Astyanax mexicanus: one gene and its partner. The protein of the gene in region 2 purifies or fractionates together with the protein of the main gene of each other region. This does not show direct contact. Links are inferred from orthologs where the notes say so. Each region holds a gene or a part of one and is shown on either strand. Other genes may lie near its edges.

Evidence for each region. Proteins that work in one complex are often made in the same cells at the same time.
Region 1: the proteins of constitutive coactivator of PPAR-gamma-like protein 1 (region 2) and rbm45 purify together in Homo sapiens (co-immunoprecipitation; 3 studies listed by BioGRID and IntAct, with this or other methods). This does not show direct contact. The link is inferred for Astyanax mexicanus from reciprocal best matches to the Homo sapiens genes FAM120A and RBM45.

The regions. Positions count from the first base shown.
Region 1 is NC_064418.1:32,369,491-32,377,058, forward strand, and holds the start of rbm45 (RNA-binding protein 45), read left to right. Parts: upstream 1-4,536; 5' UTR 4,537-4,949; coding exon 4,950-5,219; intron 5,220-5,804; coding exon 5,805-5,927; intron 5,928-7,226; coding exon 7,227-7,353; intron 7,354-7,460; coding exon 7,461-7,568. UniProt on the Homo sapiens protein: RNA-binding protein with binding specificity for poly(C). May play an important role in neural development.
Region 2 is NC_064431.1:32,841,220-32,848,526, forward strand, and holds the start of constitutive coactivator of PPAR-gamma-like protein 1, read left to right. Parts: upstream 1-4,275; coding exon 4,276-4,749; intron 4,750-7,307. UniProt on the Homo sapiens protein: Component of the oxidative stress-induced survival signaling. May regulate the activation of SRC family protein kinases. May act as a scaffolding protein enabling SRC family protein kinases to phosphorylate and activate PI3-kinase.

The sequences.
Region 1 (7,568 bases), on a different chromosome or scaffold from region 2:
GTTTTAAGACTGAGGGGCTTTAAACGAAAACAGAGGAACAGGGAAACACAGTAAAGAGCACCGCAGCGGACCTTCAGCACCAGAGTGAAGAAATACTGGATTATTTGACCCAATATATAACTGTTCCCCATAAATCACAGCGAGGCTTTGGACTCCTGCAGTCCCCATGCAGCTCCCGGAAAAAAGGACGTCTTTCTTGTGGCTACTGATTCAGTGGAGTGGAGCCACGACCATTCAAAACTAGGTTCGGGGGTTTTTGTTGCCCGAAAGGTTTTTAATTTGTGTGTTTTAATATATTCATTATATGTTATATTGTATTAAAACGTGAGATATAAACGTGAATAATCATAATTTAATAGGAACGGTGAAATATATTATTTTAAATTATATTAAATATCATGCCTCAAAATCTCAGATCTCCCCCTCTTTTCCAGTGACTTTGGTTTCTTCCAAAAGTCTGTTGATGAGAGCACGGGCGGAGCTGGACTGGAGAAACAGGGCCGGTGTTCTGTCGAATTCTGCTACCTTGTCGAACCGTGCTGCCCCAATGTATATTTAACTGTAAAAATACAAAAGAAGCACTGTTTTAGGGCATGTACCCAGTGATATTCCAGTAGATGTACGTTATTAGATTTGGATTGCATAATTCATTGTACCATGGCAAAGTTATAGTAAATATAGCTCATTACAAACTGCTTTTGTATTTATTTATGATAATAAGTGTAAATTTTAGTTTCCATTTACACTTTTGTGCAATGACAGTGCGTCCAGGTTGTTTAATGCACATAAACCCCCCTAATCCAGATTAATTATACATAAAACACGAGAAAGAATTAAATTGTGTAGGTCGGCGCATGCGCAGTACCTTTGGGAAGCATGTATCGATGGGTAGGAAAATTGACAGAACACCGGACTAAAAAAACTGTTCTTAACACACCTTGGGCTGAACAGCTGTATTCACTCAGTCGCAGTTAAATAAACTCACTGGCCATTTAGGAATCACTTAGACCAGAATTATAATAGAATAAACAATAAAATAATAAAATGTTATATAAAATCTAAAAAAAAAAAATCACCAGTGTCAGTGGCTGTCTTTACACTACAAGCCTCAAGTGTTTTTTTATTTTATATAAATTAACCTTTTTGTCAAACAGCACACATGCTCTCAGTATTTTTTGGCTGCTCTGCCAATGCTGGCTGATAATGACAGCACTAAGGGCATGAATACTGGCAAACAGATGCATGAAATCCACAAATAAAGAAATATGAAATTTGCAGTGGCCTTTTTTATGCCCAATCAGTTTGAAGACTGAGAACATATGTCTGCACTCCCCTCCAAAGGAATTGGGCGGAAAAAGCATTATTAAAAGATGAATAATGAAGACTGGGAATTGGAAATCAGTTAATTACAACTTTGTCAGTGTGTCCAGGCCCGGAGTGGCTAATCGAGAGATTCGTGAGGATTCCCGATGGGCCGGCTGTGTCTGCTGTGTACCTTGGGGAAGATGTGGGCAGTTATTAAGGAGTATATCTATGCTGGTGTTTTACCGGAGTCAAGCTATCCGCGCTTCGGAAATTCCTAGTCAAGTCATCCGCGCTTTAATCTTTGATGGGCGTATACGCGCGATTTTACGGTAAACAGACGCGCAGGAGGAGAGCACACACAGAGAAGGGGAGACAGACACGTTTCAATCGGTTAACTTATATTAATTCAGACATACATTAAGCCCAGAAACGAGAAGAAAACGGGTTAAAATAACTCACCTCACTGTAGATTTTGTGCAGTACATTATCTATGTGATATAATACCATAACAATCCCATCGGTTTTTAAGAGAGAGAGAGAGAGTTTTATATTAATATTACTTTTTCAATCCATGCTTCAAATAAAATTTCTCATGAGTTTCCCAAAAGGCCAAAACAGATCCAGTACCTCTTAAAAGAGTCCATCCTAGACTATTACCTCTGCAAATTTGGGCAAATTGCACTGTATTGTTTATTTTATATTAATAAAAAAAATGTATGCATGTTTAAAATTAAATTTCTCATGATTTTTCCATAATGCCAAAACAGATCAATGACCATTTGAAAGAGTACAACATAGGCTATGACTCCTGCAAGTTTTGGCAAATGTCACTGTATTGTTTATTTTATATTCATTTTTTTATTTTTTATTCATGCTTAAAATTAAATTTCTCATGATTTTCCCATAATGCCAAAACAGGTCCACTACCATTTGAAAGAGTCTGTCCTAGGCTATCACCTCTGCACGTTTGGGCAAATTTCACTGTATTGTTTATTGTTTATTTTATATATATATATATATATATATATATATATATATATATATATATATATATATATATATATATATATATATATTTTTTTTTTTTTATTCATGTTTAAAATTAAATTACTCATGATTTTTCCATAATGCCAAAACAGGTCCATGACCATTTGAAAGAGTACAACATAGGCTATGACTCCTGCAAGTTTGGGCAAATTTCACTGTATTGTTTATTTTATATTATATTATTTTTATTTTTTATTCATGTTTAAAATTAAATTACTCATGATTTTCCCATAATGCCAAAACAGGTCCATGGCCATTTGAAAGAGTACAACATAGGCTATGACTCCTGCAAGTTTGGGCAAATTTCACTGTATTGTTTATTTTATATTAATTTTTTTATTTTTTATTCATGCTTAAAATGTAATTTCTCATGATTTACCCATAATGCCAAAACAGGTCCATTACCATTTGAAAGAGTATTTTCTAGCCTATGACTCCTGCAAGTTTGGGCAAATTGCACTGTATTGTTTATTTTATATAATTTTTTTTATTTTTTATTCATGCTTAAAATTAAATTTCTCATGATTTTCCCATAATGCCAAAACAGTTCCACTACAATTTGAAAGAGTCTGTCCTAGGCTATGACCACTGAAATTTTGGGTAGATTTTACTGTATTGTTTATTTTATATTATTATTATTTTTTTAATCCATGCTGTAAATGAAAATTCTCATGATTTTCCAATAATGCCAAAACAAAGAAAACAAAAAGGTCCACTTAACTGTTCCACCATTAAACTGCTCAGCATATTTCTAAACAGTCTAGTCTAGAAATCACCTGTTAAAGACACCTGTGCTAGAAACAGGGGGTGTGAGTTTAAAACCATCACCTTAAATCCAATACCTCAAGTGCAAGGGGCTATCTATAGTGAAACCTGCAGAAATACGCAGTGCTGATAGCCTGAGGAACTGATAGGACTGCCTCACAGTGGCCCTGTGATGGCTTATTGGAGAAAGACTTTACATCTGATACTAGCAAGTATTAAAAATAAACAAAACAGTGAAATTTGCCCAAACCTGCAGAGGTGATAGCCTAGGACAGACTCTTTCAAATGGTACTGGACCTGTTTTCAAGGATTCAAGGAGATTTTACTGTCATTCGTATCACATTTGGTTCATGAGGTGGAACGAAATTGTGATCTCACGATTCAGTTTACACCCAAGAGCTGTTGTTAAAATAGATATATAAATAAAGTAAGACAACAAAATAAAAGAATACAATAAAAATAGAATATAACAAAATGAAGATAAGATAAAATAAACAAAACAGTACAACTTGCCCAAACTTGCAGGAGTCATAGCCTAGGACAGACTCTTTCAAATGGTCATGGATCTGTTTTGGCATTATGGGAAAATCATGAAAAAAAAATATTTTAAGCATAAATAAATTTTTTTTAATTATTATAAAATAATCAATACAGTAAAATTTGCCCAAACTTGCAGAGGTGATAGCCTATGTTGTACTCTTTCAAATGGTCATCGACCTGTTTTGGCATTATGGGAAAATCATGAGAAATTTAATTTTAAGCATGAGTAAAAAATAATAAAAAATTAATATAAAATAAACAATACAGTGAAATTTGCCCAAACTTACAGAGGTGATAGCCTAGGACAGACTCTTTCAAATGGTAGTGGACCTGTTTTGGCATTATGGGAAAATCAGGAGAAATTTAATTTTAAACATGAATAAAAAAGGGAACGCGGTGTGTGTGTGTGTGTGTGTGTGTGTGTGTGTGTGTGTGTGTGTGTGTGTGTGTGTGTGTGTGAGGTGGAGAGAGAGAGTAACGCACAGTGACACAGGATAAGTAACTTTAATCTGATTACTGCATTGGATATAGTAACACGTTAGATTACTCGTTACTGACATCACTGGACATAAGTACGTAAAGACATGTGACGTGGCCAGAAGAACACCTGCGACCGACACCCCAGTTTTAAAATTAATATATTAGGCTTAGCAGGGATGGTTGGCAGGGGCGTAGCAGCAAATTCTGGGCCCTGTACACTCTCAATGTCAGTGGGCCGCTATCCATGCCAGTACACAAGGAACATGAGCGAAAAAAAAAAATCTGGACTTTTCATGGGCCCCTCTCCCTACTTCCTTGATAGTCAGGTCCACTTTTCCTCCCACTACCACGCCCATGTGGAGTGTTACAGACAAGCAGCTCTCCAGCCCAGAAGGTTGATGAACAAACTTGCAGAACAGTAGATCTCAAAACAAGATGAAAGGAGAAAAAATAAACAGAAATGGGATTGAGCCGTAGTGTACTTGTTACTTGACTTCCCACCTCAGGCCAGGAAGAGGACTTTTATTTTGAAGTGTGAGCCGCTGCGTAGGTCTCTGTAGCTAGGGAACCTGCGCAGACCGATTATTTATGGAAGCTAAACTACATGACTGCAACAGAATTAACGTTAGTGTTTTCGGTGTCATTGCGGTTATCTGTTGAGAAATTTAAAACGTTATTTAATTAACTAAAGGTACGCTAAGCTCATTTGTGCAGCTCTGCGGTTTCCATTTCTGAAATCCAGTGGAGAGAACAGCTGCAGTAAAGCTAAACCCTCGGCTAGCTTGCAGGGCTAGCACAACAGCGGCTTCAATATGGAGGAGATCACCAGGACGCCCTCATATCTCGACGAGCCCCCAAATAGTCGGTTGTTTCTTGTTACCAGCAAATCCATCACCGAAGATATAATCCGGGAGCATTTTTCCACTTTCGGAGACATCCAGGACATTTGGGTTGTAAAAGACAAACACACGAAAGAGTCGAAGGGCGTGTCGTTTGTTAAATTCTCCAAGTCTTCTCAAGCATGCACTGCGATGGAGGAGATGCACGGTAGATGCCTGGCTGAAGGAACCAAACCCATTAAGGTGTGAATTTATTTCCATTTGAGTTTTTTTGTTCTCCGTTTTATTGTGGAGCGGTTTGCATTCTATTGTAGCTAGCTTAGCTGAGAAAGCTGTTATGGAAAAGCTCTGTCTCCAGTAGGGCTATTATACGCGATAATACCGATAATATTTTTTAATATCGTGAACGATATTATACCCTGAAATATCGTGCTGTCACCCACCTCTAATTATCACTTTTTATACTACTTTTTTTGCAGTGTTAAGCATATAAAAAATCACACTGTTCTCATTTCCTTTTATGTATCTACTAGAGACGTGTAAGATTGTTTTTTTTTTTTTCTTATTTTAGAATTATTGATCTTAATCAGTCTATAATCACTCTTAATCCGTCTATAATTTCCCCCTTAGTTTACAAAATTAATTAAAAATAAGAACTGGATTCTTGAATCCAAATGTAAGCCAAAAGATCAGTGATATTTGCCCGATTAAAGTCTTACTTCAGTCATTTACGAAACTTTTTGTCTAGTTTTTTTTTTTTTTGCCAATGGATTTTTTACAGTGTAGTCATCTGTTTTTTTTTTTTTTTTTTTTTTTTTGCTTGAACAGGTATTCATTGCCCAGTCCAGGTCTTCTGGAAGCCACAGAGACGTGGAGGATGAAGAGCTGACCAGGATCTTTGTAATGATCCCAAAAACCTTTACTGAAGATGATCTGAAAGAGACTTTTAAGGTACTACCTGGACTAGGGCTGCATCAACATGTGTGTTTGTGACATACACAGCTGATGTTCAGTAATAACACTTTTATTTAATATTTATATAATCCCTAAACTAGAACCACCTAGTGTAGCATTGTGGAGAAATTTTTTAGATTTTTGCTTTTACATGCTTCACACAAAATTGCCATTGCAAAGCACAAGAGTGTGCCCAACTAGAAACAAGACACAGGAGAATAGGGGATAGCTCAAGGGCAGATTTTATCAGCTGCAGTGACAAAGCTACTAGAGCTTGAAAATAAAACGTTTCCTAACAAAAAACATTAAGCAAGAAAACATTGATTTGCCTGGAGTGAAGATAATGGATGGCAATGAAGAAAAGGAAATAATATAATGCACTAAACTAAGAGTAAACCCAAACCTCGGCCCTAAGTATCTGACTAAATTTACAATAAGCAGTGGCAGCCATGTATCTCTTAGTGTCTCTAGACCAAATCTCCAAGGCTCCATAAGCTTCCTAAATAACATAAGTTAAAAAAAACAATGTGGAAACAATATAATAATAAAAAAAATCTACCCCTTCTTCAAACAGCTGCATCTGTCTGTCATTAGGTAGAGTGTTACAGTAAAATAAAATCATAAACATGGCACAAAATAGGAAAACTGAAAGGGAGTGAGCAGAAAAAAACAACCCAACGCTCCGACACGTAACAAGAGGATATGGAACGAGAAAATGAAAGAGTAAAATTAAGAAGTTAATTATAAAAGCCTGGCATCGCTTAAACATCTTGCTCTTCCAGAACACAATAAATCTGTCACTGAATATTTTCACACTTAATCAAACCTTTAGTGTGATTATCTGTCTTATGCACTGTTATTCAATCCCAATAGTAGTAGAAAACATTGTAAAGGCTTATTGAGTGTCTATGCAGGGCAATGATTATTAGGAACACACTCTAGCTCATTTCAGCATTTTAGTGATTTTTTTTTTTTCTTCTTCAATTTACTGATGAGTGGAATCAAGTGTGCTTCAGCAGAATAAAACAGTGTCTAACTCCTACTGAACAGGAATAAATGACCCCTGGTTTCAGTTAGTCTCATTAATATTTTCTGTCAATAATCATATGGCTTTAGATTAATCATAATTGAACACATTTTAACTATAGAAAATTCATCCTCTATTTGCTATTCACTTGTGTGTGTTTGTGTATGGGCTCTGCGTGAAATAAAATCTCAACAGAACTTGTTCTAGATTTTATAGTAAGTTAGTTGTATTTCACAACCATGATGCATTCCATTGTTTTTCCTTTACAGCCCTATGGAGATATCGAGTATGCAATTATTATTAAAAATAAAACTACAGGGGAGAGTAAAGGACTGGGCTATGTGCGGTTTCACAAACCCTCCCAAGCAGCCATGGCTATTGAAAACTGTGACAAAAGTAAGCGGCATGATTATTCTTTTCCTTTACAATTAATCCTGTTATCCTGTTTACGAACGATCCTGTTTAACAATGAAAATTTAATGGACCTTTTTGGATTCATCCAGGTTTTCGAGCCATACTTGCTGAACCTCGGACAAAAAATTCATCTGCCGAGGGAGATTGTCTCACCAGCTCAAGACCGGATCATGTAGCAAGCGAGCAATGCTTAAGTG
Region 2 (7,307 bases):
ATTGTTCCGTTCCACCTTAAAAGATGAAGACGGTCAGTTCCTCCATAGGTATGGCCTTAAGACTGTGTCGCCACAGCAGCATTTAAGGTGGAATAATAAATTAACAGTATTTAAAGCGGAATAGTAAATTAGCAGCAGTATTAAAGGTGGAATGGTAAATAAATTAGCAGTATATAAGGTGCAATAGTAAATTAGCAAAATATTAGGGGAAATGGTCAATTAGCAGTATTTAAGGTGGAGTAGTAAATTAGCAGTATTTAATATGTAAGGGTAATTTACTAGTATTTAAGGTGGAATAGTAACTTAGCAGAAGCATTAAAGGCACAATAGTAAATTATCAGCAGCATTTAAGGCGGAATGGTAAATTAGCAGCAGCATTTAAGGTGGAATAGTAAATTAGCAGAAGCATTTAAGGCGGAATAGTATATAAATTAGCGGTATTTAAGGCGGAATATAATTCAGCTGCATTTTTTGGTGAAATAGTAAATTAGCGGTATATAAGATGCAAAAGTAACTTTGCAGCAGTATGTAAAGCGGAATTGTAACTTTGCAGCAGCATTTAAGGAGGAATGGTCAATTAGCAGCAGCATTTAAAGCGGAATAGTATATAAATTAGCGGTATTTAAGGTGGAATTCACTCCAACTCACTATTTACACTTATTTGTTTGGAATGTATGATCAATAGACCTCATTAACATTAAATTATACACTATCTTGAGTACAAATAAGCAGAAATTCTGGATTATTTTGACTAATAATTAAAGAAGTCGCTTATGTTTACTCTCCCCCCCGCCTAATTGCCTAATTACCACACACACACACACACACACACACACACACACACACACACACACACACACACACACACACACACACACAGATTCTAATATTAACATGAAAAAAACTCTGATATAAAGCAGAACAAACGCTCAGCGTGCTCATAACTTACAGTATCAGATGAACACGAGCTCCTGTAATTAGCTAAACACAGGTGTGCAGCTCCAGGTGCAGGTCAGATGGAGGGACAACGGCAACAGCCAATCACACGTTAGCAACAAACGGCAGAGCCAATCACAAGGCTCGTGGGCGGTCTAAAGGGAAACAGGCCGTTTCCGCTTGGTCCTAATTCTTTTTTTTATTATTACTATGATTATTTTGTCATTTTTGTATTAATCCACTACTTTTTACATACCCATTGCATTGGGAGTGTCTGTTTAAAAAAAATATATATATATATATATATATTTGATATCGACTTTTTTATTTCATAAGCTATTGCTGAAGGTATTTTTTTAAGTGTTCTAAAAGCTGCTGTTTTTCCCCAGTGCATTGGGCAGGGCTAAACTTCAGTTCCAATGGCTTGTAAACTTTTTTATTTTCTGGTTCATGGTCTATTCCCATGGACAAAATGTCTCAAAAGCTCTATCCGAAAGAGATTTGTTTCTCAGCAGGTTCTGGGGTATTTTTCTCTTTTATGGGGGGTTTATTCATCTGGGACGTTTTTCTCAGACGTCCTCTGAGAAAATTACAGGCTGAATTATCTACTGTTTTTCTCTGAACTCCGTGCTCCTCCGGTAATTTTAGTCCCGTCCGGACGCACATCTCTGAGTTTCGTCTTCTCACGTTTAATACAATAGCTATTTGTCCACTGCCGCGCACCGTAATTACACTTTCGGCACGCCACAGTTTCCACAGAGATCCACATTAAAAACACAACAGTGAGCGGAAATGGAGGAGCTACTGAACAATACTCATGTCATGTGCCGAGAAAAAAAAGCCTAAAAACTTACTGGTCCTCTTGTTTTTTCGATTACAGTCTAAATGCAGGAGTTTTATCACTGTATAAATATATTTTTTCAATATTTTTCACAGACGTCCCCCAGAGAGACTATTCCCGTCCAGATAGGGCTAAAGAGTGTTATGCACCACAGAACATTTTAAGAACAAATGAAAATAGATGCAGTCCATTGTAATGGACGCAGGTTATGAAAGGGTTAATTGGGGGGTAAGACCCCCAAAATCCTCCATCATAACTTGCGCCATGGTTGGTAGCAGTTAACTATTAGTTAATTAATAAAACCACTAGCAATACATGCAAAAACATAAAAGTCTAATAAGATTTACGGTTCTAATGTTATTAAAAAAACATTACTCAACTAATGCATGTCTTATTCACTTCATTCTCTCAGAGTAGTGCAAAGTAAACCTCCTGTTTTTTATTATAATAGATCAAAAATATAAGCAAAAGGATTTTCCAAATAGCATCTATTTTTACCAGACGAAAAAACACTCGAATGCATGTCAATTCGTAATTACGACTCCCAAATTCGTAAGTAGGAATTTCTGAGTAAGACTTGAAGGCATCATTAGTTTCATCCACCCTGCGCTCACAAGTGCTGTAAGCCTTGCTGAACCATACTGTCTTGTATGGATTTTTTCTCTTTTACATCACAATATCTTTATTTTGCTGGCTGCATTTCACAAAACATAAAACTGAAAAGACGTGAAAACTGGAATAAAGGTTGGACTGGTCCTTTAACAGACTTTTATCCCACTAATGTGATGCTAAAGCACCAGGTCAGGGCTCCTCCTCACAACCTGCGTCACTAATAATGGAGCGTTCGATTCACTTTACTGAATCGATTCTCTGGAACTGTATGTTTTAATGAGCCGAATGTCTGATTTAATCAATTTACTGATTCTTAATTCCCAGCCTAGTATGAAGATGATGCATGTAGAGATTCGAGACATATGTTTGAAATAAGTTACCTTAAATATATTTACATTATTTTAATAAGCATATATGCAGATGAAACAATGTTTGGGAAGGCTTTTCCCCCCTTTATTTCATTACTTTATACTTTAATTGCGTATTTATATATATTATTTTATTTGAATTTACAGACAAATCTATACTGGAAAATACTGTAAAATTGTTAAAAATTATACGGCATCTCGCCATCTGTCTGAATACCAGAGGAGACGAAAGAATCCTCCTCTAAAAAGCTTCCAGAGATCCTGGAAATGTTTTAAAGATGTTGGCATTACATCACTCTGGCTACGCCCACAAAACACCTGAGCACCTGACACTTGTGTATGTGTAGAAATAATTCAACTTTATTAAAACACTTATGTGACTGTAGAACATATATATCATTACTTACATATGTTCCACATTTAACAGGATGACCATATATCTGCTGACTGTTTGGAGGTGCAGGAGAAGAGAAGTAGGAAAGGAGGAGGAGAAGAAGAGTAGGAAGGGAGGAGAAGACGAGAAGGAAAGAAACAGGAGAAGAAAAAGAGAAGGTAAGGAAGAGGAGAACTAGGAAAGGAGAAAGGATAAAAAGGATTAGGAAAGGAGGAGAGAAGAAGTAGGAAAAGTATGAAAGGAGGAGGAGAGGAGGAGAAGGAAAGGAGGAGATGAGGAGAAGTAAAGAAGGAAGAATAGGAAAGGGAGAAAGGGAGGAGGAGAGAAGGAAAGGAGAAGGAGTAGGGAAAGAAGAAGGAGAAGAGGAAGAGGAGAAAAGGAGGAGTAGGAAAGGAGGAGGAAAGAAGGATTTGGGAAGGAGGAGGAGAAGAAAGAAAGGAAGAGGAGGTGAGGAGGAGAAAAGGAGAAGCAGGAGGAAAGGAGGAGAAAAGGAAAGGAGGAGAGGAGGAGAAGGAAAGGAAGAGTAGGAAAGGAGAAGGAGGAGATGAGAAGAAGTAAAAGGAGAAGAACATGAGGAGGAGGAGGAGGAGGAGGAGGAGGAAAGGGAGAGTAGCAAAGAAGAAGGAGGAGGGGAGGAGACGGAAAGGTGGAAGAGAGGAGGAGTAAGAAAGAAAAAAGGAGAAGAGGAGTAGGAAAGAAGGAAAAGACAAGAAGAATAGAGGAAGAAAATGAGGAGGAGAAGGAAAGGATGGACTCATAAGAGCCGATTCAGAAGAACCGATTCAAAAGAACCGATTCACAGGAGCCGATTGGACTCGTTCATGCGTCACGGTGCTCCTGTCCCTCTCCCTCTCTCAGACATGGCTCCATAGGACTGCACATGGCGGCCAGCGGCCATGAACCCCCCAAAAAAGAGAAAACACACCAATAACTCACCAAAAAACAGCTAATAACAGCTGTTTATTCACTGATTCATCTCCTCCAGCAATATTCGGCTCAGTCTGTTTCTCCGGTGCAGGAGGAGCAGCAGCAGGAGCTCCTCTCTGCTCCTTTAATCCGGTTTATTCAGCTTTATTTCGCTTTATTTAGGATTTTATTTTTTATTAAAAACGCACTGAATCATCATGGGGGTCCAAGGTTTCCAGGAGTACATCGAGAAGCACTGCCCGAGCGCCGTGGTGCCGGTGGAGCTGCAGAAGCTGGCCCGGGGGAGTCTGGTCGGCGGCGGCAGGCAGAGGCCGCCCCAGTCGCCGCTCCGGCTGCTGGTGGACGCGGAGAACTGCCTGCACCGGCTGTACGGCGGCTTCTACACGGACTGGGTCAGCGGCGGGCAGTGGAACCACATGCTGGGCTACCTGGCCGCCCTGGCTAAAGCCTGCTTCACCGGCAACATCGAGCTGCTGGTCTGCTTTAACGGAGCCCTGGAGAAAGGCCGCCTGCACGAGTGGGTCAAGCGGCAGGTGAACGAGCGGCAGACCGCCCAGCAGATCATCAGCCACGTCCAGAACCGCGGAACCCCGCCGCCCAAGGTCTGGTTCCTGCCCCCGGTCTGCATGGCCCACTGCATCCGCCTGGCGCTGCTCAGATTCCGGATAGGAGTGAGTAGCCTAGCCGCTGTGGAGCCCGGCCTCGCCGGAGGATGTTTATGTGTTTACTAACTTACATCTAAATAACACTTTTTAATTTAACTTTCTTTAGATTTTAGTCTTAAATAAGCACTTTGAGCCTTTTAAAATCTTATGTAAGAGATGACAAAATATACTTTTTTTGGAAAAATCCATAAATCCATTAAAACACCACCTTATACCTGAGCTGGGTTGATTTTTCATAATGTAGGTTTAGAGCCAGGCTCATAAATGCTGACTTGAGACTTAAATTGTGAGTTTTAGTTAGATAAGTTTCAAATCAGGCTTTATGAGCATTTATGATCCATTCACAATCTTTTATATAAGAGATGACTATAAACATCCTTTATAAAAAATCCATCAAAACATCATCTTAGAACTGTGTTGATTTTCCATAATCAGCCCTAAAATATGTAGGTTAGCCAATGTCTCTAGCTTATTATATCTAGCTAACACTTAAATAAACATATTTTTCATAATGTAGGATTAGAGTCATCCCTTATATAAGATTTTCAATGAATCATAAAGGCTTATAAAGGCTGGTTTGAGACTTAAATTGTGAGGTTTTAGCTAGATAATTCTCAAATAAGCCTTTATGATCCATTCAAAATCTTATATAAGAGATGACTCTAAATATACTTCATGAAAAATCCATAAATCCATCAAAACACCAGCCTAGACTATAACTGTGTTGATTTTTTTATATTCTGCCTTAACATATGTAACTAGGTGTATCTAGCTAACATTCACAATTTTAGTCTCAAATCAGAATTTTTAAAGCCTTTTTGGTCCATTTAAAATCTTATATAAGAGATGACAAAATATACTTTTTTTTGGAAAAATCCATAAATACATCAAAACACCAGCTTAGACTATAGCTGTGTTGATTTTTCATAATGTAGGTTTAGAGCCAGGCTCATAAATGCTGATTTGAGACTTAAATTGTGAGTTTTAGTTAGATAAGTTTCAAATCAGGCTTTATGAGCATTTATGATCCATTCACAATCTTTTATATAAGAGATGACTATAAACATCCTTTATAAAAAATCCATCAAAACATCATCTTAGAACTGTGTTGATTTTCCATAATCAGCCCTAAAATATGTAGGTTAGCCAATGTCTCTAGCTTATTATATCTAGCTAACACTTAAATAAACATATTTTTCATAATGTAGGATTAGAGTCATCCCTTATATAAGATTTTCAATGAATCATAAAGGCTGATTTGAGACTTAAATTGTGAGGTTTAGCTAGATAATTCTCAAATAAGCCTTTATTATCCATTCAAAATCTTTTTGTTTTAACACAGCTAAATCTGGACAGTTTTAGTTCTAATCCCATTTTTGGTTGCATTTTACCCAACTAGTTAGTCTGTTTACCATCAAAATACCAGCTGAAACCTGAGCCGTGTTAATTTTTCATAATGTAGATTTACAGTCATTCCTTATATAAAGATTTTAATGGATCATAAAGGCTGATTTGAGACTTAAATTGTTAGTTGTAGCTAGATACGTTTTAAATAAGCCTTTATGAGCCTTTACGATTCATTTAAACCCTTATAGAAGAGATTACCATAAATATACTTTATGAAAAATACATCAAAATACCATTTTAGGCTTGAGCTGGGTTGATTTTTCATGAGTAATCTAAAAAAAATTTAACCTATTTTATGGTAAAAGTCTAAGATGGTATTTTGATGGTCCAAGTGTTTGTTATTCCTGCTTGAACACAGCTGAATCTGCACACTTTTAGTTCTAGACTCTGTTTACCATTAAAAGACAAGCCTAGGCTTGAACTGGATTGATTTTTCATAATGTAGATTTAGAGTTATCCTTTATATAAGGTTTTCAATGGGTCATAAAGGCTCAAAAAGCTGATTTTAGACTTAAATATTGTATTTTAGCTAAATATACTAAGATAATGTGCAGAGAGTCACTAGCTAGGTTTAACCAATGTTCTTTACTCTATCATGGTGGGTTTAGAAGTTAAACTGTGCAAAATCAGGTGTGTTAAAGCCAGAATAACCAACAGTTTAACCATCAGAAGACCAGCTTAGACTTGAGCTGGGTTGATTTTTATGATTAACCTTTAAAATATGTAACTAACTAGGTTAGCCAATGCTTGTAGCTAGTATATCTAGCTAACATTCATGATTTTAGTCTCAAAACAGATTTTCTGAGCCTTTTTGATTCATTGAAAATCTATAAAAGGGATGACCATAATTCTAAGATGCTCTTTTGATGGTGAAAGTGTCGGTTATTCCTGCTTTAACTCACCTGATTTTGCACAATTTAACTTCTAAACCTACCTAGACTTGAGCTGTGTTGATTTTTCATAAATCGTAGGTTTAGAGTCATCCCTTATATAATATTTTCAATGGATCATAAATGCTCAAAAAGGCTGATTTTAGACTTAAATATTGCATTTTAGCAAGATATACTAAGATAATGTACACAGAGTCACTAGCAATGGTTTAAAATGGTTTAGAAAATAAATAAATTGTGCAGAATTAGGTGTGTTAAATTGGGAAT